Linked DNA regions of Macaca fascicularis. The protein of the gene in region 1 purifies or fractionates together with the protein of each later gene. This does not show direct contact. Links are inferred from orthologs where the notes say so. Each region holds a gene or a part of one and is shown in the gene's direction. Other genes may lie near its edges.

Region 1 (3,748 bases):
GGCGTTATCCCGGGACATGCGGCTCGGGGACAAGGACCGAAATGAGCTTCTAGGGGTTGCCGGGGCCTCAGTCTATCCCTGGAACGACCGCCCCCAGGACCTGGCACCCAGGCCCGACTGGAGGGTTCCAGCCATCTCTGCATCCCTTCGTTCACATATTCAACAAATAATGTTTGAGCGCCTACTGTGTGCCAGACGGTGTCGCAGGGGGGTCCCTGCAGTAAAGACAAGCAGAGCTACAGCCCCAAAGCTGACATTCAGGAGGGAAATACAACATGAGAATTAAACAAATCGGAGGAAAAGCCAAAGTGACAGATCTCATCTGCTCCTCTGCCTCCTTGCCGTTCCCTAAGCGGTCCGGCGCCCTTTTGGGTCTTTGCACTGGCTGTTCCCTCGGCCAGGAATGCTCTTACCCGCTTATCTGCGTGGCTGAAATACTACTATCACCTTCTCAGTGTCACCCGATCAGACCGCCCATCAGCTCAAGGGCCCTATCCGACTGCTTCACTGAAAATTCACTACTTACCTCCACCCCCAAACCTCCTGACCCTGCTCTTTTTCCCTCTTAGAACTTATCACTTTCTAATATAACGCACAGTTGGCTAATTTGCTGTTTATCTGTTACCAGTCCCTCTTTCCCCAAACTCCACGGGGGGACAGAATTTTTGTCTATTTGTTCACCACGCGAGAAGAACCAGAATAGGTGCTCAATAAATATTTGCTGATAATGGATAAATCGTGTTAAATGCTATGAAGAAAATAAAGTACATGGAGTGGCCAGGAGCAGAGGGCTAATCGAGGAAGGTGGTCAGGAAAGGCCTCTCTGAGGAGGGGACCTATGTACAATGAGAAGGCGCCGGCCACGTGAAAAGCTGGGTAAGAACGTCCCACAGAGGGAAAGGCGCGCGCCAATGTCCTGAGGCTGGTGAAGTTCCAGAGTCTGATGGACAGAAAGGTGCTCTAGGATCCTCAGGAAGGCAGGTGTGAGATGAGGCGGAAGTGGGAAGCGGGAGCACAGACCAGGTAGGGGTCCCACGAGCCTTGGGGAGGTTTAACCAGGGAAGCTTACTAGTGCCGCGGGACGAGCACTGGACTGGAAGTCAGCGGGACCTCAGCTCTACCGCGCACCCGTCGTGCAAGACTCCTCGTTTCAAAGTTTCTTTGGGCGCCGACTGCTTGCCTTCCCCAGGCATGAAATCACTGAGGGCCTGGCACACAGTAGGTGCCCAGTCATGGTTGTGGAACGAATGGCTGCATGCATGCGTGAGGGAACTCAGGGCCTGCCCGGAGCTCGGCGGAGAGCCCCGGTGGCCCCAGGGGATGCGTCGGGGCGCGCCAGCCTGGGGCGGGGGCGGGAGAACACCGCAGGCCAGCCCGGACGCCCGCCCCCCGCCCGGCGCGCGGGCCCTTCGCGGCCAGCCCGGCCGGCGGGAACCGCCCGCGGGCGGCACTGGGCATGCTCAGACGGCGGCCAGGTCGCGCCGCGAGCGAGCTTCCGCGCCGCCCGCACGCGCGACCTACCTGGGCGCTCTGCGCCCCCGGATGCTTCAGGTACTGGCCAGTGCGACCCCAGCGAGCCAGGGGCAGGGCGCGGGGCTGCCGGGGGCCGGGGTCGCGCTCGGCGCCACCCCGCCCCCACCCGTCCCTGGGGCGCGCGGCGGACGCGCGGGCGGGCTGGCGGGTGCGGCGGCACCGGGTCCCCGCACCACGTCGGGGCGGGGAGGGGGCGCCCCGCCGCGCTCACCTGGCGGGGCCGGGGCGGGAGGGCGCGGGCGGGGCGCCGGGTGGGGCTCCGCCGGGCGGGCGGGCGGGCTGCCGGGACGCTGCGCTGGAGCGTGGGCGTGCGCTCCGGCCGGGCAGGGGCGGGCGCAACCCGCGGAGCCCGTGCCACCGGCACCCCCGGAGGACCCCGCGCCGCCGCGACCCCGGCTTGGGGCTCCGAGGGGGCGCACAGCGCGCGGGGAGCCAGCCAAGCGCGGCGGCCAGCGCTTGGCTCCCAGGGTGAATCCGCCTCTCGGCTTTCAAAGATGGCATTTCCTGGGCCTGGCACGAAACTCCAGCGCCAATAAATCCTCCCCGTTCCGCGGGCGATATGGAATGATTTATCAGGTACCTGCGGTGAGACAGCTGCAGAGAGGGGAGTGTATGTGAGAGTGCCCAGCCCCCCGGAAATTCCCATTTTCAGCTACCTAAACTTACTGAGAAGTTGCCGTTGCCTTAAAAATTCATGGGAAGTTGAGACAACTTGACACCTGGGTTTTCCGAGTTGGCGGAAGGAGCTTGTGACTTGGAAACTGGAGACCTCCGTTCAAGTTGGACTCCCCTTTGGCCAGCTAGTGACCTTGGGCAAGTTGTTTAACCTCGCTGGTCCTCAGTTTCCTCTCTTGCAAACAGCTGGTAATAATGCCCACCTCGCTGGGTTGTTGAGTGGCTTAAGTGGGATAAATTATGTGGAGGTGTTTGGCACCGTGCCCGGCACAAAGCTAGCAAGCAGTTGGCGTGATGTGAATTTAATTCGTTTAGAGACCCTCGTGGCTCTCATTTCAGCAGGAAATTAGAATTAGGAAACCATCTTCACGGCCTACTGGTGGAGTGACAGACCCTATCTCTGTGCCCAGGAGAACTTCTGCCGAAGTCAAGGCCTTCGGAAAAGCAATTTAGCCAAATTGTAATCAGAGAGCATCTCCTTTAAAAGCAGTTTTATACATTCAGAAACTCCAGAAGTTGGCAGTTTGGCTTCACTTACAAAAGAGCTGTTTTGTAAGATGATCCATCTTGCAAATGTTTAAGCAGATGATGGGAGAAAGTAAAGCCTGCTTAGGAAGATTTCTGTTCTAAAAAGCTCTCAAATCCAACTTTAAGTGATTATTTAGATCAGGGTTTCTCAGCCTTGCACTATTGACATTTGGGGTTTGATAATTCTTTGTGTCGTGGGCATTGTAGGATTTAGAAGCATCCCTGGTCTGTAGATTGCAGTAGCAATTCCTGTCTCCCAGTTGTTCCAACCAAAAATGCTTCCAGTATTGTCAGATGTCCCCTAGGGAGCAAAATGCCACTCCCGCACCCCTTTAGAAACACCAGTTTAATTCATGCTTTTTGTCATTAGCCTGAGTTGTTTGATAATTTCATCTTGTGCTTTTGTAATAACTAACCTTTGCATAACCTTGTAGAACTTACAGAGTACATTCACCTGTATCATCTCATTTAATCTTTACAACTCTTGTGAGGCTGGTGTCACTCCCATTTTACAGATGAGGACATTGAGGCTCTGAGCAGCCAGTTACACAGTATGTGGTAGAGCTGGGATGTGTAACCCAAGTCTCCTGGTTCCAAGGGCAGGTCTTTTTCTTCTGCATCAAGCTGCCTGCCCCTTTGTTGTATGGAGGCTTTGATATGGATGACTTTCCGGATGATTAAATCAAGATGTGAAGTATATTGGAAGTTGGAAACTTTTTTGAGATTGACTAGTTGAAAATTAACAACAGTAAGCTATTATCTGACAGAGTAGGCCATTCTAGTTAAATATTCTAGTTTATAGCGAGCTCCCATAAATCCCACATGCAGTTAATGGAATACCAATTTGCAGAGAATTAGAGTAGAATAGAACATGCCTAATACTCTGTATTGGTCCTGCGTTGTCTCTAGTGATTTGCCATCTCCTGAAAAGGACTCATATATGCAAATTAGACATTAGCTGGGGAATGTAAAAGGTCAAGTTACTGAAGGCATTTCAGAGTAGCTGAGGCAT
Region 2 (3,748 bases), on another chromosome or scaffold:
TTTTTGTATTTTTAGTAGAGACGGGGTTTCAGCACGTTGGCCAGGCTGGTCTTGAACTCCTGACCTCAGGTGATCCACCCGCCTCAGCTTCCCAAAGTGATGGGATTACAGGCGTGAGCCACTGCGCCCAGCCTCTCCTTGCTTTCTGACTGTGTCTCCGTTCTGTGCCTGTTTCTTTCTCTCTGCCCTGGTTTCTGTTTCTGTGGCCCAGGCCCTCTCTTCATCCTTGGCCCCTCACCAGGTGACAGTGGGAACTGGATCGAGATCGCCTATGGCACCAGCTCAGGGGGCGTGCGGGTCATCGTGCAGCACCCAGAGACTGTGGGCTCGGGGCCTCAGCTCTTCCAGACCTTCACTGTGCACCGCAGCCCTGTCACCAAGATCATGCTGTCGGAGAAGCACCTCATCTCAGGTGAGCCTCTGTGGGGTGCTCCAGTGCTGGGAGAGACAGCTCAGATGGGAGTGTGGAGGCAGAAGGATTAGAATTTCCACTGGGGACGGACACTGTGTAGGAAGAGAGCTCTGGTGGAGAGGATTGACCTGGGATGGGACTGTAATTGCAGAAGTGAGAGAATACCATAAGGGGATCGGTCTGGGGAGGAGTCAGTCTGTGTGTGTTCGGGAATCCATCAATTCAGCAAGGATTTATGGGGCACCCACCGTGTGCCAGGCATAGGGGATACATTGATGAACAAGACGGGCCAAGTTCCTGCCCTCATGGAGCTGACATTCTAGCAGGGATGGCAGACAATAAATATATAGAAATGGACATCAATGGCCAGGTGCGGTAGCTCACACTTATAATCCCAGCACTTTGGGAGGCCAAGGTGGGTGGATAGGACAGGAGCAGGGACCTCTGGGAGGGGGGTACTGATATGGTCCAGGCAGGTGACAAAATAGACCAGGACCAGCGTGGGGCAGAGGACAGGGCAAGGTGACATCAGGCTCTGGAACAGTTTTGGAGGCAGAGGCAACAGGGTTTTTAGCATTTGGAATTCTGGGGAGGAAAGGATTCTCTGAAAGGGAAGAACTCAGCAAGGGCTGACCCTCCCGAAGCGGAGCTGTCCTGGGGCTCTGGAGGGGCAGGCAGCATTGATGCGTACAGCAGGCCTGATCTCCTGCTCTCCCTGTGCCCCCTCAGTCTGTGCCGACAACAACCACGTGCGGACATGGTCTGTGACTCGCTTCCGCGGCATGATTTCCACCCAGCCCGGCTCTACCCCACTCGCTTCCTTCAAGATCCTGGCGCTGGAGTCGGCGGATGGGCATGGCGGCTGCAGTGCTGGCAATGACATTGGTGCCTACTGGCTCCTGGCCTTCCCACTCCACTGACCCCCTTACCTGACCCCTGTTGACCTCCACTAATTCCCACTTGTGGCCACCTGACCCAGGAGCCTGCAATGATTGGGTGTCCTGATCCTTGAGGCACCTGAGCTCCACTGACTGCTGCAAGCCCCCAGCCCTCTCTGGCCCTGCCCAACTCCAACAGCCTGGGAATGGGACCCGGGTCTTGGGATGGTGGGTTTCATCAGTGGGGAAGGAAGTCTGAGGCTGAGGGGACCCCAGCTGGCCCTGACCCCTGCCCCTGCCTGGCCCAGGCCCCTACGGCGAACGGGACGACCAGCAAGTGTTCATCCAGAAGGTGGTGCCCAGCGCCAGCCAGCTGTTCGTGCGTCTCTCATCTACTGGGCAGCGGTGAGGACAGTCCTGTCCAACAGGGAGGGAGGTCAGGGGAGAAGGCAAGATGCCAGCCAGGTCACTGAGGCCAGAAAGGGGTCACAGCCAAGGAGCATTGAAAGATCAAAGGCTGGGAGGGAGGACAGGCCTGGTGGGTTTGGGGTGGGAGGTATCAAAGGTGTGATGGGTGTGGGTGGGAGTGACCTGGCGCAGTGCCAGCCCAGTGCAGGCAGGGCCAAGTTGGTTGGAGGCACAGGGGGAGGGGTCAGGGTGGGATGGGGGCACAGGCAGAGGGGTTGGGGTGGAATAGAGGAGACCCAGGGAGCTGTAGGAGCCTGGCTTCAGCTGGGAAAGGGGCCTCAGAGGCTGTTCTGGATGAAGGGACTCTGAGCAGAGACCTAGAGGACAAGTAGGAAGGAGCAGAAGAAAGAAGGGAGGGGAAGGGGGCCCCAGGCTGAGGGAACCGTATGTGCAGAGGCTGAGAAGGGCCAAATAGGGTCACACGGGAAGGACACATGGGCTCCTGGGCTGGAGCACAGGAGGTGAGGATGGGGTGCAGATGCGGGTGGGCCTTGTCAGGCTGTAGAAGGGCTGAAGCTTTGTCCTGTGCGGGGAACTGTGGCCACTGCACGGGGAATGAAAGGAGGCTTGGTGGGAGGCCAGGAGCCCAGGGAGGAGGCCAGGAGGCTGATAGGAGGTGGGGGAGCAGCTGGGACAGGCCTTGGGCTTTCCGTGGCAGTGGGAGCAGGGAAGAGCAGAAGTCTCTGGGAGATTCCCTGGGCATTTGGGGCTGGGGTGTGCAAGAGCTGCTGGACCCTTGGGACTGGAACTCGAGAGAAAAGCGGGCTAGGGATGGATAAAGACTGGGGTGGCCCCTGGGGAGGCAGGAACTGCAGCCACAGTGGTGGGGACTGGGACTAGGAAAGGTGAGAAAGCGAGGGTGACTGCCTTCCCCACTGCCCCCCCCAGGGTGTGCTCCGTGCGCTCCGTGGATGGCTCACCCACTACGGCCTTCACAGTGCTGGAGTGTGAGGGCTCCCGGCGGCTTGGCTCTCGGCCCCGGCGCTACCTGCTCACCGGCCAGGCCAACGGCAGCTTGGCCATGTGGGACCTAACCACCGCCATGGACGGCCTCGGCCAGGCCCCTGGTACTCCCTGTCCCACCCCAATCCCATCCCAAGCCCCACAGCCTCACCCAGAACCACTCTCCACAGCCAACTTCTTGATCTCTCTCCCAGGCCCTTGCCCTCTGACCTCTTTTCCTTTGACCCCCTCTCTGCTCCCCATCCCTTCCTGCCCTTGTTTTTCAACCCCTGTCTCAGCCTCTGGCCCCCGCGCATTGATCTCTGCCTCCTCTCTCCTGTCCTGTCTGTGGGTGCTTGCACTGCAATGCAACCCAGGCCCTTGCCCTATGACCCCTGTCTTGCCCCCTGACCCTGCTTCCGTGCCCCCCAGCAGGTGGCCTGACGGAGCAAGAACTGATGGAACAGCTGGAACACTGCGAGCTGGCCCCACCGGCTCCCTCGGCTCCCTCTCGGGGCTCTCTGCCCAGCCCCTCACCCCGCATCTCCCTCACCAGGTAGCTACAACTCCACTTCCCCTTCTGTGCAATGGAGGGAGAGGGGAGAGTGTGGTGGCTCCAGGGGCAGAGTGGCTCAGCTGCCCTGTGATGACGTGCACTTACTGTCCTTACTTCCTCAGCCTCCACTCAGCCGCCAGCAACACCTCCTTGTCTGGCCACCGCGGGAGCCCAAGCCCCCCACAGGCTGAGGCCCGGCGCCGTGGTGGGGGCAGCTTTGTGGAACGCTGCCAGGAACTGGTGCGGAGTGGGCCGGACCTCCGACGGCCACCCACACCAGCCCCTTGGCCCTCCACCAGTCTCGGCACTCCCCTCACACCTCCCAAGATGAAGCTCAATGAAACTTCCTTTTGAACAACGCAGCTGCAGCTCAATGAAACTTCCTTTTGAACAACGCAGCTGCCATGATGCCTTGGGATGCCCTGGTCCTGGGGGACTCAGGTGCCTCCCTGATTCCTATGGGAACCCTGGGTTCAGGGCCAGGGCCTCCTT

What was found.
Region 2: the proteins of PTPN3 (region 1) and SHKBP1 purify together in Homo sapiens (affinity purification with mass spectrometry; 4 studies listed by BioGRID and IntAct, with this or other methods). This does not show direct contact. The link is inferred for Macaca fascicularis from reciprocal best matches to the Homo sapiens genes PTPN3 and SHKBP1.

What each region holds. Positions count from the first base shown.
Region 1 is NC_088389.1:48,616,023-48,619,770, forward strand, and holds the start of PTPN3 (tyrosine-protein phosphatase non-receptor type 3), read left to right. Parts: upstream 1-1,462; 5' UTR 1,463-1,551; intron 1,552-1,817; exon of another isoform or gene 1,818-2,109; intron 2,110-3,748.
Region 2 is NC_088393.1:47,702,970-47,706,717, forward strand, and holds part of SHKBP1 (SH3KBP1-binding protein 1), read left to right. Parts: intron 1-211; coding exon 212-412; intron 413-1,141; coding exon 1,142-1,297; intron 1,298-1,598; coding exon 1,599-1,695; intron 1,696-2,646; coding exon 2,647-2,825; intron 2,826-3,132; coding exon 3,133-3,256; intron 3,257-3,378; coding exon 3,379-3,584; coding exon of another isoform or gene 3,585-3,610; exon of another isoform or gene 3,611-3,620; coding exon 3,621-3,646; 3' UTR 3,647-3,748.